Cricetulus griseus: one gene and its partners. The protein of the gene in region 1 purifies or fractionates together with the protein of each later gene. This does not show direct contact. Links are inferred from orthologs where the notes say so. Each region holds a gene or a part of one and is shown on either strand. Other genes may lie near its edges.

Region 1 (5,651 bases):
TGCCTGTTGAAGCTTCTGTAGCCAGGTTTTCTATTTGGAGCCAAATGCAATAACTGATAACACCAATGTGGCTTTCCTCTACCCTTTGTCCCTCCCCAACAACACTTACCCTCACTTATTCCACCCAGAAAAAAAATGTCATCACTAATCCCCACTCAAGAAAGCTTTTGACAACTTCTCCCTGCAGGAACACTACTCTTCCATACACCCTCCTAGTAGATTCTTGACTCTTTAAAAATGTTTATTCCAAAAAGTCTTCAACTAGATATTACCTAAACATCCTGTCTAAAACAACACTTTAAGCCCTGGCATTTCCTAATTCCCTTCCCTACTTTACTGTACCTCATCACTTATTAAGATACTATCTTACTATATCCCTCCCTAGAATTTTAGCTTCATGAGAACATAACTGTTACCTGCTAAAATCCGCAGCTAGAATAATGCTAGGCAAACAGGAGATGATCAGCAAATATTGGTAAATGAATGACTACAATCAGGAAAAATGAGGTAGGAATCTGAAGAGTGAAAAAGGTTAAAAGTGAATGTCAACTGCTTAAGGCCCATCAGACCCCCCACAGCCAGTCCCAAAGAGCTCCTGCATCCTATACACTGATCAGAGAAAGGAGCTCTCAGCTATTTCAACAGAAGCCCACGCACGGCTGTGACACTAGTTCTCTGTAACACAATGAGAGCCATAAAAATAGAACAGATTTATTCTAAAATTGTTTTGGCTGGTCTCAATTTGGAGGAAAAGAAGGGGGGGGCTTTTAACTGAAGCAAGTGGACAAAAATGCCAAAATTGAAGCTTCCAATCAGTATGTTTGTTACTTATCATTAATGAACACCTGTTTTTCCAACAGCAAAGTATACAGAAACAGGAGATATATGCTTTTAGTTAAAATAAATACAAGCCTAATGCAGCTGATTATGGGAAATATTCCAGTTAGTTCTTGCTATACAGTGAACTAACAAGGTTTTAAAACTTTTAAAAGCTTTCGTTCCAAACTACTTTTGTCTATAAATAATTTAAAAATCTGTCCTAACATATGCCCAGATTTTATCTGAAAGGACACATAATGAGTAACAGTGCTTGCTACTGCGGACAGAGTTAGGCACTCAGGAGAATGGGGAGGGAGATGTTTTACTATTTAACCTTTCCTAACTTTGGAACTGGACCATGTTAATGAATTACTTATGCAAAAACAGATTGAATTTGTGCTTGAAGCAGCTGGAGAGAAATCACCCTACCCCACCCCGCCCCAACCCTCCCTTACAGAAGATATGAGGAATATGTGAACTTGCACAATTCCTAACACCCAGAGAGACAGAGTCGTGTTAAGAATCTAATAATTAGAAAATACTTATACAGCCAGGCATGGTGGCACATGCCTTTAATCCCAGCACTGAAGAGACAGGGGCAGGAGGATAGATATCTGTGAGTTCCAGGTCAGCCAGAGTTACACAGTGAGACTGTCTCAAAATATATTACTTATCTAAAGGGAAAGATTTTTCTACTCAAACCCTCTTTGACCTTATAGAAGAAAAATTTATTCCTATATTTTATTCTATCAAATAAGCCAACATTTTTCCCCAAATCTTCATTTAAAAAAAAACAACAACAAAAAACTAGATTCCCAGGGCAGCAAAAAGGATCCTATCAGAAGCACAAGAACAAGAAAAATTACTAAAAATAGGCTGGGAATATAGCTCAGTGGTAAAGCACTTGCCCAGCATGTGTGAGGCCTTAAGCTAAATTCCCAGCAACAAAACAATTTTTTTCCTAAATGAGGATTAATAATGGGATTCTTCAGTAGGTTGTTTCCTGAAAGTTCTCCTTATTAATTATAGAAATCCACATTAGAAATAAAATGTCCAGTTGAAAGGCCTGAACTGCAAGAAAGTACAGGGCTGAACACTCATCGTGGACTTCCAGGAAATGTCTTGATCATCATTTTCTTTTTTAAGACTATTGTTATTCATGGTCTCTCTTCTGTTTCAAATATTCTCACCAGTCACATGCAGCAAGCTTCTGAAGGATGACAAGATGTCAGCAAAGAATTAAATAGGAATTTTTTTCACTGGCACACAGAGTGGCCCATGTTCTAAAAACAAGTCTGACTGTAACACTGATAAAAATCATTCCCTGATGTAAACTGCGCATCACCAACATGTCCATTTTATTTCCAGCAGAAAATATAGGCAATAAATATCAATCGACATACATACATACACACACACACACACACACACACACACACACACACATATATATATATATGACACAGAGACATATAATTTTTATTAATAATCACACCTAAGTAACTCATCATGTACTTGACAACCACAGTTCATCCAATTACCTGCAGGCCAATAGGAGCATACAGAAACATACCTCTCCAGTGATGCTTAAAACCTTGTTACTACACTGTAACATGAACTAAACGAAACACCAGGAGAATATAAAGCGCCTGAAGTCACAGGCTGCTTCAAGTGTCACTTGGAAAAAGAATATCCAATTTGGATGGTTCACATTCCCCCACCCTCAGCACTCCCGCTGAGGCCTCCTAAAAGCATTATGTCATCCACTATCCGCACATCACTCGCGCTGTCCTGCGCTCCCAGCATCTAGGCCTACCTAAGGAGGCGACCCGGGAGACAGGTCTCGCCCTCTCCAAGTTCTCTTGGAGTCATGTGAGCCACAGCCCCAGTTTCTCCCGAAGACAGAAACAAGTTCGCTCCCTAACTTCACAAGCTAAGAAGGGCGAAAGCACTGGGGGCGAGACGCCCCTCGGCGAGTCCGCCGCAGGCCTGACCAGGCTCTGCCTCCAGTGAGGAAAGCTAAAGACCCCCACAAGGCGAGGACCCGGGCCAGGAAGAGGACTGGCGACCCTCTCTCTGGGCAGGGAATCGCGCTGGCTGTCTCCAGCACGCAGGCCAGGGGAGCGGCCCAGGGCAGGAGCTGCGGCGCCCGGACTCACGGTCGGTGCAGCGGCTCCTCGGCCGGACCGGGCAGCGGCGGTGGGGGCGGTGCAAGCGGTGGCGCCTGACCCTGAGGCGGCGGCTGAGGGGGCTGAGGCGGCGGCGGTGGTGGTGGTGGCGGCTGCTGCTGCTGCTGCTGTTGCTGTTGCTGCTGCTGCTGCTGCTGCTGCTGTTGCTGCTGCTGCTGCTGAAACGACTTGAGCGACTCGAAAGCCTTCATCAGCTTTTCCAGGGTTGCCATGACGGCCTCCTGCCCGGCGGGACAGACCCCGAAGGCTTGGAGCCTAGTCGCCCTCAGCGGCGCCACTTAGCAGCGGGGAAATGAATGGGGATCTGCGCGGCGGGCAGAAGCGGAACCAAAGCGCCCAGCCATCTTGGGCCCGTCCCGGCAACCCCCGCGGCGCCTGCGTCCTGTGACGTCATGCCGACGGAAGAGAGGCCACGCCGGATCCGCAGATTTGACAGGCCGAAGCGTCATTTTTCCCAATGCCTGGTTGTAAGCATGCCGGGCCTCTGCCAACTTGCTAAGAATCTCCGCCCCTACGATATGACCCCGCCCCTCTCCGGCAAACCAAGCCTCTGATTGGAGGGAGCGGGGAGAGAGCGTGATGAGGTAGGCGGGGCGGGTTGCTAGATGAGGGGCGGAGCTGAACCAAGAGTGGGTTTGAGGGGAGTGGCCGAGCACTAGATTAGGAGTTACAGGACAGAAAAAAGAGGCGGGCGGAGGAGTTGGCAACTCAGTAGGGTTTGGGGAGACATGGAAGACTAAGAGGTTGGAAAGGGGAAGGGCAGCAAAGAAATTTCCCTGCAGAAAGCCACCCATGGCGGTGGTGGTGCTCAGAACCCGAAACCCAGAGAGGCACTCATTGTCCGCAAGCTGACAGATGGCCTGCTATACAGTCCCGAATGCAGTATGCTAAGGGCTCCCTGAAATGAGAAGGGAACCAGAGTGACCTTTATGCAGGACCAAAGAACCCTTGTGATCCGTGGACCCCTGAAGCACTGGTTAGCTCAGACATGAAAGCCTATAAAAAAAAAAAAAAAAAAAAAAAAAAAAAAAAAGGCGGCACCAGACGATGTGCTGTGGAGGAAGCTGATAAAGGGTTCCAAACAAGTAGCAGTGCCTGCAGCCCAAAGAGAGGCTGGGGTTAGTGCAACTCTGATCGGACACTTCAACTTCACAGTGCTGGACCATGGCACTGCTCTGGTCATCAGCCAGAACCTACAAGGGGCCTCATCGCCACCAGAGCTGAGGTCCTTGTCTCCAGAATCTCCATCTCCCACTGGTGAGCAATTAAACAGGAAGCTTAGAATAGTATGGATACACCCAGCTCCTTCAGCCTGTCCAGCAAAAGGTGTTGGCTTCAGAGAGATCTGACTGGAGGTGATGCATTTAGTTAGGAACCCATTTAAGCTCTTCAGGCTACCCCTAAGACTCAAGAGCCCTATTCCATGGCCATGAGAAACTCCTCCATCTTCTCAAAATGGCCAAGTACACAGGAGCCAACACTACCCATGGGAGGTATAAGCAGCCAACCCCTGTTAAACTGAGGACAGCAGAGAAAGTCTTTAGAATTCCATGTCCCTCCAGTTACTAATGCCACTGTCCGCTGCATAAAGCCAGTGCCAGCTCCCACATGAGGCAAGTTCTAACAGCTGGTAGTTGCTAGTAGGCAGACATGGAAGGCCCAATGAGCCCTGCCTCTTAGCACTGTCTAAGTATGGGCAGCTGACTTCTGACTTCTAACCAATACAAGGCGAAGTTAATGGGATGTCACACTGTTGTTAGGTTACAAATGTAATTTTAGTCCTGCTCACTACCATCTTCTCAACTTGCATTGATTTTAAAATTAGATTTATTCTTTTTATGTGTGCATGTTTTACCTGTCTGTATCTGTTATACCACATGTTTGATGCCTGAGGTCAGAAAGTACATCAGATCCCCTGGAACTGGAGTTATAGGTGGTTGTGAGCCACCATGTGGGTGCTGGGAATCAAACCTGGGTCCTCTGCAAGAGCAACAAGTGCTCTTAACTGTTGAAGCATCTCTCCAGCCCCGATTACACACATTGAGAAAGAGCAATTGGCAAGACTGACAAAGAACTGCCCATGGTCAACATTCAGGCCTGATATTGGTGGTCTATCAGCCCACAAAGAAGTGGACTCTGCCAACATCACTAAAGCTCTAAGATGATTCTTTTGAAGCCATTCTTTCAGATAAGAGGGAAGTGGTACCAGACTGCCCACTGTGAGAAGCAGGCAGCAGAGGACTTACATAAGCTGGGCCCATAGACCCACAGAAACTGGGAGTCATCATTAGATATTTATATTCTCATAGTTCCACAAACTAAAAATTAAAAATCCAGGTGTTGGCAGAGCAGCTTCCACTTGAGGCTTTACACCATCCTTGCTCTGTGTCTGTCCCCTAATTTTTTTATAAAAATGTAACTGGATTAAGATCTAATAGCCTCGGTTTATCTCAATACCTCTTTAAAGACTCTCTCCAGGACTTAGTGGTGCATGCCTGTAATCCCAGCAATAGACAGGTTGAAGCTGGAGTATTTCAAGTTCAAGGACAGCCTTGGTTACAAAGTGAGTTCCAAAACAGATTGGCTGCATATCAAGACCCATCAGGAGAGGGGAGAGGCCACCATCTGTTCTCCAAACAGACC
Region 2 (4,965 bases), on another chromosome or scaffold:
AAAGGCGTGCACCACCACTGCCAGGCTGGTTTAGTTTTTTGAACATTTTTTCCCTCTGTTCTTTTAACCACACGTGTTCACAGTGTGGGTAGTGCTATCAATGAAATTGTGATTGGTGGCACTAGTGAGTCATTTAAGGGACAGGGATGTAGCTCAGTGGTAGAGCACTTGTTTTTTAGTGTGCATGAAGCCCTAAGTTTGATATCCAGCACTGCTGAGAGAGAGAAAGGGGGCGGGGCAGAGACAGACCAATTAAAATCACCTCTGTGTTACTTTTGGAAAACACCTAAATGGTTATCGATTAATAATGGCTGGGAGAATGGGTTGAAACCCTAATACCCAAATTCTATCTACTCTCCTTCTGTTTTATGGTAAAATTTGAGAAATCCTATTAATCTTTCTCAGTTGCATCTTTTTCTTTAATATGAAGATTATAGGCAATCTAATTTTCCCATAAACTTAGTTTACTTTCTGACATGTAAGAACAACCCCAATACATAGGTATGTTCCAGAAAGGTCAGTGTAGTTGTTGAGAGTTTGATATTAATGAAACAGAAAAGTTGGAGACTGCACATGATCAGTGATCATTTTCTCTGTAGCATATGCAGTTAGGACACTAGCCAACCTCCAGACACATTTTATTTAGGCTGTAGAGTAAAAATGGGAAAAATTGACAGTGGAATTTGTTGAAGTTAGTCAACAATTGAAAATTGTAGCTTCCAGAGTCCTACTAAATCTTGGTATCCTTCATCTGAGTTCTTTATGTAGTCACTTGGTTAGCCATTATAGGAACTTGGAAGTGTGTATAGTGTAGGGATTGATTTCATTTTTCTTTGTCTTTAAAGGAAACAACCCCATGAGTATTCCAGCAGGTGGAATAACAACAGATCAGCAGCCACCAAACTTGATTTCAGAATCAGCTCTTCCAACATCCTTGGGGGCCACCAAGTAAGACTAAAGATTCAAATAGATCGTTTCTGAAGAACAAGTGGGTATAAGAATGGGTGGGAATTATACAAAACTCCACATGTGGCAGAGAATGAATGGGAATGCATGCTATTTTTTCTTTTCTCATATTTTTAAAGAGACAGGAAAGAGCGGGAGGGAGGGGAGAAAGAGTCCCACAAGGGGGTGTTGGATTCCATGGAACTAGAGTGACCAGCTGTTGCGAGCCATTGATGTGGATATCTGATCCTCTGAAGGAGAAACAAGTACTCTTAACAGCAGAGCTGTCTGTCTAGCCTCTCTTTCTTTTTAAATGATAAATGTAAAACAGAACCAACTAAACAGATTGAATTCTGGTTGATATACATTACTTGTTTCTCTTAAACATTTTAAGTCACATATTGTTGAAGAAGGTTGAGTGTATTTGATTGATTCACTTGAGTAGCTGGATGAAGTGTTCTTATTTCCCTCTCTAGTCCACTAATGAATGATGGCTCGAACTCTGGTAACATTGGAAGCCTCAGCACGATACCTACTGCAGCACCTCCTTCCAGCACCGGTGTTCGAAAAAGCTGGCATGAACATGTGACTCAGGACCTGAGGAGCCATCTAGTGCATAAACTGTACGTTACCCTCATCAGTCAGATTCACATTTTGTGGCTGAGGCATTGTTGAATCTTTATGGGTGCATAGATGTTTGGTTTTGTTTTTTCCTTTGCATGTTGAATCCCAGTTTATAGCTCTTAGCTGCAAAGGGTCCATGCTTGTTTCAGAAACCAATCCCCACTGTAGAGAGTCCTAGGAAGGCTGAGTTTCCCAGACTCTGGGCCCTATTGTATGTTGGCATCAGACAGTTAGAGACGTGACCGGAAGCCTACCTATCCTCTTTGCTTTTGAGTTCACGTGTGTTCAGTTACTTAGGACTAGTTATAGAGTTCCCTAAAACTTGGGGGAAATTTGGCTCTGGTGAATATGTATGGTATGACCACATAGTTATTTTACATACAGAAAGTAATGTTTCAAACTACCTCTCCTAAGTTGAAGTGAATCAACTATAGATTCTTCCTTATTTTGATCTGTTTACAATGAACAGTTTCAAAATAGAGATTTGGAATCATACTTTTCATAAAATGATATAACACATTTGTGATTATTATGTAGGTTAAAGGTTGGTATTGTTTCCATTGTTCATGCACAAGGCAAAGAGAGTTCTGCTGTGACCACTTTGAAAGTAGGTTGATCTAGTATATTGTCCTTTCAGTGTCCAAGCCATCTTCCCAACTCCTGATCCTGCAGCTCTGAAGGATCGCCGAATGGAGAACCTGGTCGCCTATGCTAAGAAAGTAGAGGGGGACATGTATGAGTCTGCTAACAGCAGGGTAGGTTGTCAAGCAATTGTTGAGCCTATAGGTGGGAAATGATATTTGTCTAGTTCTTTACCCATAATTAGGAGAATCTGTGTGATATAGGAGACTCCTTACCTTGAGACTTTGAACAGACATGTCCCAGTAAGGATGAGATTCCTGTACAGCCCTTTTGTGAATGAAGCACAAATATCATAGGAGGACAGAGGATGCATTAGATAAAGTGTATGTACCCTTGGGTCATCTCTTTTCACCGTGGGTATTCTTTAGGATTCTTCTATTATATTATTGCCAGTATCAGTGAATACCCAAGAAAAAGCTCATTTGTGCAGAAAAAATAAACAACTGTATTTAGCACCTTCGACTGGTCGTATCTAGTAAAGTCACTAGTTCAGTAAAGTGGAAATTAAAGGGTATGCTGACATCACTAGGAATTTGGGGTGGTGATTCTTTGGTTTATTAAATGTGTCGAACCTTTGTTAATGTACTTAAAATGTGCTTAGCGGTATAGTGCCTTCTTAGGCCCTGAGTTTGATCCCCAGCAGCAAAATGTGAATGTGTGAATAAATGAATGAATAAAAAGAGTTCATTCATTGCTAGTTAGAACATAAAAATAAATGACTGGTTCTTAGATTTTTCAGTTCCTTAATATTGAATATTATTGCTTTTTTAGGATGAGTACTACCATTTATTAGCAGAGAAAATCTATAAAATACAAAAAGAACTAGAAGAAAAACGGAGGTCACGTTTACATAAGCAAGGCATCTTGGGTAACCAGCCAGCTTTGCCAGCTCCTGGGGCTCAGCCCCCTGTGATTCCACCAACTCAGTCTGTGAGACCTCCAAGTAAGGACTGTATTTCTTTTTACCAGCTCTTAGCCTGCCTGCTTAGTTTTCCTTCTGTCTTTGGGGTATATGTCTAAGAATGTACAATTGTGTTCTCCAAAAGTCTGTGCTTTGGAAGCTTTCTGTATGGCAGTGTCCTGTGAGGACATTGAGCCTCCCTCATAGGAAGATTTCTTTTTGTTTTCTTCATTTTTGGTTGTTTGAGACAGGTTTGCTCTATAGAGCACTGACTGTCCTAGAACTCACTCTGTAGACCAGGCTGGCTTTGAATTTAGAGATCTACCTACCTCTGCCTCTCAAGTGCTGGTATTAAAAGGTGTGTGCTACCACTGCTTGGTATAGGAAGGCCTCTTAAAGGCTTTGCTGCTAAGTTATTGGGTTTTTTTAACTTGTTTATAACTCCCACCCCCCTTTCAATTAATTAATTTTTTCTCCCTTGTAGATGGGCCACTGCCTCTGCCAGTGAATCGAATGCAGGTTTCTCAAGGTATTTATTGTCAGCCGTGTTTTACTTTAACTTTCAATGTTAGCAAATTATCCCCCATTTTCCCTTTTGTTTTTTTTTTTTTTTTTTTTTTTTTTTTTTTTTTTTTTTTTTTTGCACTTTCCATTCTTTTCTGATAAGAACATAGTCCACTAAATAATTCCACTAAATAATGTTAGCCTGTTTTTTAAAATTTGGAAATTAGAGGAGCTTTTTCCAAAGAGGTCAGAAATAGGATTTTGGACTAGCAACACCCCCCCCCCCAGAAAACAAAAACAAACAGGGGAGACATTATTAGGAGATTATAAAAAGAGCCATATTTTAGGAAGGAAAAGGCCTTTCTGAATATTCAGCCTGAGAGTCTGTAACCCAGTTGGTTTCAAGTACTTGGGGACTCAGAAGGTACAGTGCTGCTTCAGGCCATCAGGATTGAAGTTGCTGAGTAATTATCAACCACAGGAGGCTGTGTGCATAGCTCCATGCCTGGCTGGAGTAGTGATAGCTGTCTAAACCATTAATCGCTCAATTCAAGATTCTGTGGTCATTTGGAGTAGATAAGGCTTCAGGGCTAGGGGGTATTTGTACGCTCTTTAGATCTTGACATACTGAGACTTGAATATCAGGGTATTGCTCCAAGTTGTGAAATAAAGTGGGGACATTATCCAGATGGTAAAGTAAGGCATTGCAGTTTGAGAGGGACAGGTAAGTGATTTGAAGTTGTAACAGTGTTATTGAACACTGAAACAGACACTGAATAAACTTGCCAAGAACTTGTTTGGATGTATTAGATTTGAGGGGTAGAGGAAGTCAAGTGGTTAAGAAAATTGAGCCATAGCAGTGTAGCTAAATGCTTATGGGTACATGGACATTGATCTAGATAGGGAGCCACAGTTGAGCTGGGATCTGACAAGATAACTAGTTAGCTACAGATGGTAAGAGACATTCTCTGGGTCAGTACTTGCCAGACTTTCTTGCTGGCAATATCAGTACCTAAGAATGTGGGTTTCTTTCAATGCTGTTTCTCAGTATCTGCACAAAATTGTCATGGAGAGGAGACTTTTATGTTATAAGCTCCCTGGAAAGTCCACTTGGGCCTTATTGGAATTTGGCCATTTGAAGGTGGCAGTTTTGGACAGTCACTGAAAGTATAAGAAGATCCTCTTGTGAATATAGCAATGGTGAGGCAAGGTCTCTCAAAAACTTTAAAGAATTCTTTTATATTACAGTGTTGGATAGAAGAACAACTTGATTTTTTTAGAGCCCACAATTTGCTTAGTTTATAGAAAGTTACTATGAACTAGTCCCTGTAATCTGAAAGATACTTCCC
Region 3 (4,154 bases), on another chromosome or scaffold:
AGGAAGCAAGATCCAGTGTTGTCAAATTCCTTTGTAAACAGTGAAACCCAGTTTCTTGTGTGTCTTTGGTTTCTGAAATGGAAGAAGCCAGGCTCAGCACCTTGTCACCTCCCAGAGACCTCGGTGCAGCCACCTGGGCTCCTGACCCTCAGTCCAGCTTTGAAGAGCTGTTCCAGCCTAGCTGGGACCAAACAGGCTTGATGAACTAACTGCATCTCTAGGTAGTGGAGTATAGGCCCCTCCCTGCTCACACCTCCTCATGGGGACTGCTGGCCTGTCCCAAAGCATCCCAGGAGATGGCTCACTCAAGGTGTCTCCTTTATGGGAGAAATGTGGTCATGGGATTTATCAGATCAGGGTAAGGTAGGGGCATTTAGAAACGGACTTGTTAGACCTCACAGTAACAGCATGTCCCTAGCCTGCAGGGATTGGCCAACAGTCCTGCCAAGCTGAACAGAACCCTTTCTCTTTTTTTCAGGACTCCACTGGCCTGTTAGGGACAGAGCGACAAGTTGGCAGCTCTGCCCTCGGGGCTGCAACCCACATCAGGGAGCTTGGTTTTCCTAGATGGAAACTACCAAGTCCTGTCCTGCAGGTCAAGGCCCAATCTTCTAAATGGGCACGGTTTCTGCTGTCACCTGGAAACAGCCCACATGTGGATGAGAACCCATCAAGATTTCTGCAGGGCACCAGGCTAGCTGACCCAACACAAGCTGAGCAAGGGACCCTTGATGCCAAGACTCCAGGGGAAGGCCACTTCAGCAGGGCCCCTGACACTGTCCAGCGCCCTCAAACCACTCCCGCTACCACACCCCAGCCAGAGGGGCCTGGCAGGAAGACCCCAGAGCAGCCATGGGCCATGGGGACTCCTCAAGCAGATGGTAGGCCCTTGGCTCAAGGGGCACAGAAGGCCCCAGCAGTGCACAACCTCTTTACAACTGGGGAGGACTTTGAGGATGACCTGTAACCTTCACTCTGACTCATGTAATGGGTCCTCCATGCCACAGGCGGAGGTGCTTTAGAACAAATAACCCGAACAAATAAATATGCCTGTCAAACAGATTTTTCTTGTTCAACAATAATAAGGACCACAGGGTTGGTTAAAGTGCATATGCCACTTAATTACAGGTCATTTAGAAATCAAGTCAGAGAAAGCTACATGGGGTTTCATTTAAAAGCATTAACATTGGAACGAAAACTAAGTGTGAATCATTAAAAAGTATATGGTGAGACCCTTCAGCTGACTTCAAGAGTTCTCCATCCCCCAGGAGCCAGAGGCCCCAAATGCCCGCCACCTTTGACTTACTGTGGACAGCCCCCTCTTAACATAATAGCTTTATTTGTTGAAAATAACTGTCAGTGTATTAATCACTTTTAACAAAGAAAACACAGAAGGTCATCAGACAAGAATTCTGACTGCTGGTGCAATGCTGGCGGTAAGAGCAAGTGCAGTGTACCTCTGCAGCTCCCTGGCAAAGGCCAGGCTCAGGGAAGGCAGAGGGAAGCTCAGCCACAAGTACCTGGGTCTGTTCTCAGGCGTCAGCATGTACACTCTTGGAACTGTCCCCTCATGTCACTCTCCTACTGCTTTAAAGGCTTCACACATTCCCACCTGTAGATTCTGGAAGAATGCTAAGAAACTGGCCCTATTGAGGCCCTGCTGCTCTACTTGATGCAACTACAAGACAAAGGGGGTGGGTCACAGGGCTTCGGCACAAGCCCGTCACAATGGCGGAGGGTGCTTTGAATACTGGATTGTGTCCAGTGCAGCTCCGATGTCGTAATTCTTGGTCTGTAGGAGCCTGGTGAGCCAGCCACCTTCATCAGAGAAGCCCATGGACAGCATCTGGGAGAGTGACTCGATCAGTCGGGGATCAGCCTCTGCCAAAACAGACAGGAAAGTCAGGCACCCTGCAGCACTCCAAACATAGCAAGTCCTGCCTGCCAGGAAGACTGCCCTGTTTAGGCCTCACAAGAACCCTCAGAGGCCAGCTAAAGGGCCAAACAGCCCTGTTTTGTAGGCTTTCCAGTCTGTCACAACTGTTCAACTCTACCATTGTAGCATAAACAGCCAGAAGGTATGTAAACAAATGAGTGCAGTTATTTTCCAATTAAGTTTATTGCCAGATGTGGTGGCTCAAGCCTGTAGTTCTAACACTCAAGAAGAGGAGGCAGGAAGATCATTCAGGGACATCCTGGGCAACAGTGGGACACCATCGCAAAACCAACCCAAATAAAAACCATTTAAAGATAATAAAATGTGAATCGTGAATCTCCTCTAACTGCCTCTGATTCCTCACCCTCTGTTGTTATTTGGCGTATGTACTTATATTCCTATGTAGGTGTACATGCATGTGTGAAGGTGTGGCAGCCCAGAGCTGAAGTAGGAGTCTTCCTCTGTTGCTCCCCACTTGAACTCATGGCTTGCCAACTCCAGCTTGTCTATCTAGCTAGCCAGCTTGTGAAGGGATTTTGTCTGCCTTCTGCCATGCTGGACTACAGACACAGTTGCCACGCCTGCACAGCAAGCACTTTATTGGATGAGCCAGTTCTTCAGCTCCCCTGCTCTAGTCTGACTCCAGTCCAGAGCCTTGCAAGTGAGATAAGCAGTCTGCCATGGAGATACAGAGGTAGGTCTCACTGTGTAGCCAGGATGGCCTTGAACTCATGATTACAGCCCCTTCCCAGACTCTCATGCACCAGTTTGCTGCCCCTCTGGCTCTCATGCACAAAATAAGTTTGTAAGCCCCAAGGCCAAATCTGGCCCGGAGAAAAGTTAGCCACCTGAACACCGTTAGCCTGGGAGCAGGCTGCCTCTCTTGCAGGGTGTACACTTGGGATTAGCCACTCCTGTCCAGCATTTTCCATACTCTGCCTGGCTTCTACTAGGGCCTTGACTGTGGTGCTTGCCATTAAAATTTGCAACCCCCTGAGGAAATGGTGTGTAGGGTTTGAGTTCAGTTCATGGTACAAAGCAGCCCAAACCAGTGTTGCCTTTCCTGTAACATCTGCCTTCTCAGAACATCTGGGTATTGAGATTTAGAAATACTTAAAATGAGATGAGGTTACTGTTGCTGGATGCAAACAGAAGAGGTCAGACCAGCTTCTAGTTTTCTCTGATGTCAACTGACAGCCCCACCAAGGAGTGTGCCGCAGACAAGCCTACAATCCCAAAGCTACCCTGCACTACACAACTAGGTACTGCCATTTAAAAAAAAACCTAGGCCATGCTACCCCATTTTGTGTTACCAAAACCAGACTTGGGCTAGGATACTCTGAAAGCAAAGGAAAATGAAACTTCTGGTGACCACATGCCTGGTGGGAGATGTGGGTACAAGGCAGCTTCCTTCAGCCCTGTGGGTCCTTCCTGTGAGGGGTCTAGAGAGCTTGGCCCTTCTGATTCCGGCATCTGTAGAGACTGGAGTTCACCTGTGGACGGGTCCACTTCTTTGGAAGACAAATGTGTCCAGTCATCATCTCCTCCTGAGCAGTTATCAGACTCCATCTGTTCCTAGAATACAACCTGCTGTGAGCACAGGGGTCTAAGTGACTGACCAGTGGGACCCCACGATCTGTTCCCAGCAAAGTATGGCAAAGAGAGCTGCCTGCAAAGGACATGTCTGTCTGATTTTTTTCCCGTAACGATAGGGGTTGAACCGAGGACCTCATGTATATCAGGTAAATGCCTCATAATGAGTTACCGCTCCAGATCCAAGAAAGTCTTTCTCAACAGAGTTCTGTTTGAAGGCTCAGAGTGACTGGAGACACCACAGGGATAACAGGAAGGACAGGATCCCTCTGGCTGCAGAATGGCTTGGGCTGAAGCCAAGATGCCAAGCAGGTCAGTTAAAGCTAGTGGGAGAAAGCAGACCTACCTCTGGCTGTCCCACTGACTCCAAGGCGATCTTTTTCATTTGCTCTGTCAGGGACTGTGAAGTGCCTTCGCCTGCCTCGTCAGGCTTGTTAACCTCTGATGAGCAGCTACTTGGCTGAGTGCTGCACTTGTCTTCTGTGTCCATGCTGGAACTTTCTGGGGAGGTGGGTGTCAGGCGGCTTCTCTTCCCTCCATGTTCCACATCAATGTCAACCTCAATGCCTAGAGCAGGAGGAGGAATCAAGCTGTCAAGTCCAGAGGCCTCCCCTGCCTGTGACAT

Evidence for each region.
Region 2: the proteins of Htt (region 1) and histone lysine acetyltransferase CREBBP purify together in Homo sapiens (affinity purification with western blotting; 5 studies listed by BioGRID and IntAct, with this or other methods). This does not show direct contact. The link is inferred for Cricetulus griseus from reciprocal best matches to the Homo sapiens genes HTT and CREBBP.
Region 3: the proteins of Htt (region 1) and Sqstm1 purify together in Homo sapiens (affinity purification with western blotting; 4 studies listed by BioGRID and IntAct, with this or other methods). This does not show direct contact. The link is inferred for Cricetulus griseus from reciprocal best matches to the Homo sapiens genes HTT and SQSTM1.

What each region holds. Positions count from the first base shown.
Region 1 is NW_023276807.1:103,745,750-103,751,400, reverse strand, and holds the start of Htt (huntingtin), read right to left. Parts: upstream 3,221-5,651; coding exon 2,979-3,220; intron 1-2,978.
Region 2 is NC_048600.1:42,538,555-42,543,519, forward strand, and holds part of histone lysine acetyltransferase CREBBP, read left to right. Parts: intron 1-845; coding exon 846-948; intron 949-1,421; coding exon 1,422-1,568; intron 1,569-2,206; coding exon 2,207-2,324; intron 2,325-2,982; coding exon 2,983-3,154; intron 3,155-3,596; coding exon 3,597-3,641; intron 3,642-4,965. UniProt on the Homo sapiens protein: Acetylates histones, giving a specific tag for transcriptional activation. Mediates acetylation of histone H3 at 'Lys-18' and 'Lys-27' (H3K18ac and H3K27ac, respectively).
Region 3 is NC_048600.1:64,656,818-64,660,971, forward strand, and holds the end of Sqstm1 (sequestosome-1), read right to left. Parts: intron 4,097-4,154; coding exon 3,876-4,096; intron 3,512-3,875; coding exon 3,316-3,511; intron 1,882-3,315; coding exon 1,724-1,881; 3' UTR 1,048-1,723; downstream 1-1,047. Other genes in the region: Mrnip (MRN complex-interacting protein), read left to right, coding at 479-967. UniProt on the Homo sapiens protein: Molecular adapter required for selective macroautophagy (aggrephagy) by acting as a bridge between polyubiquitinated proteins and autophagosomes.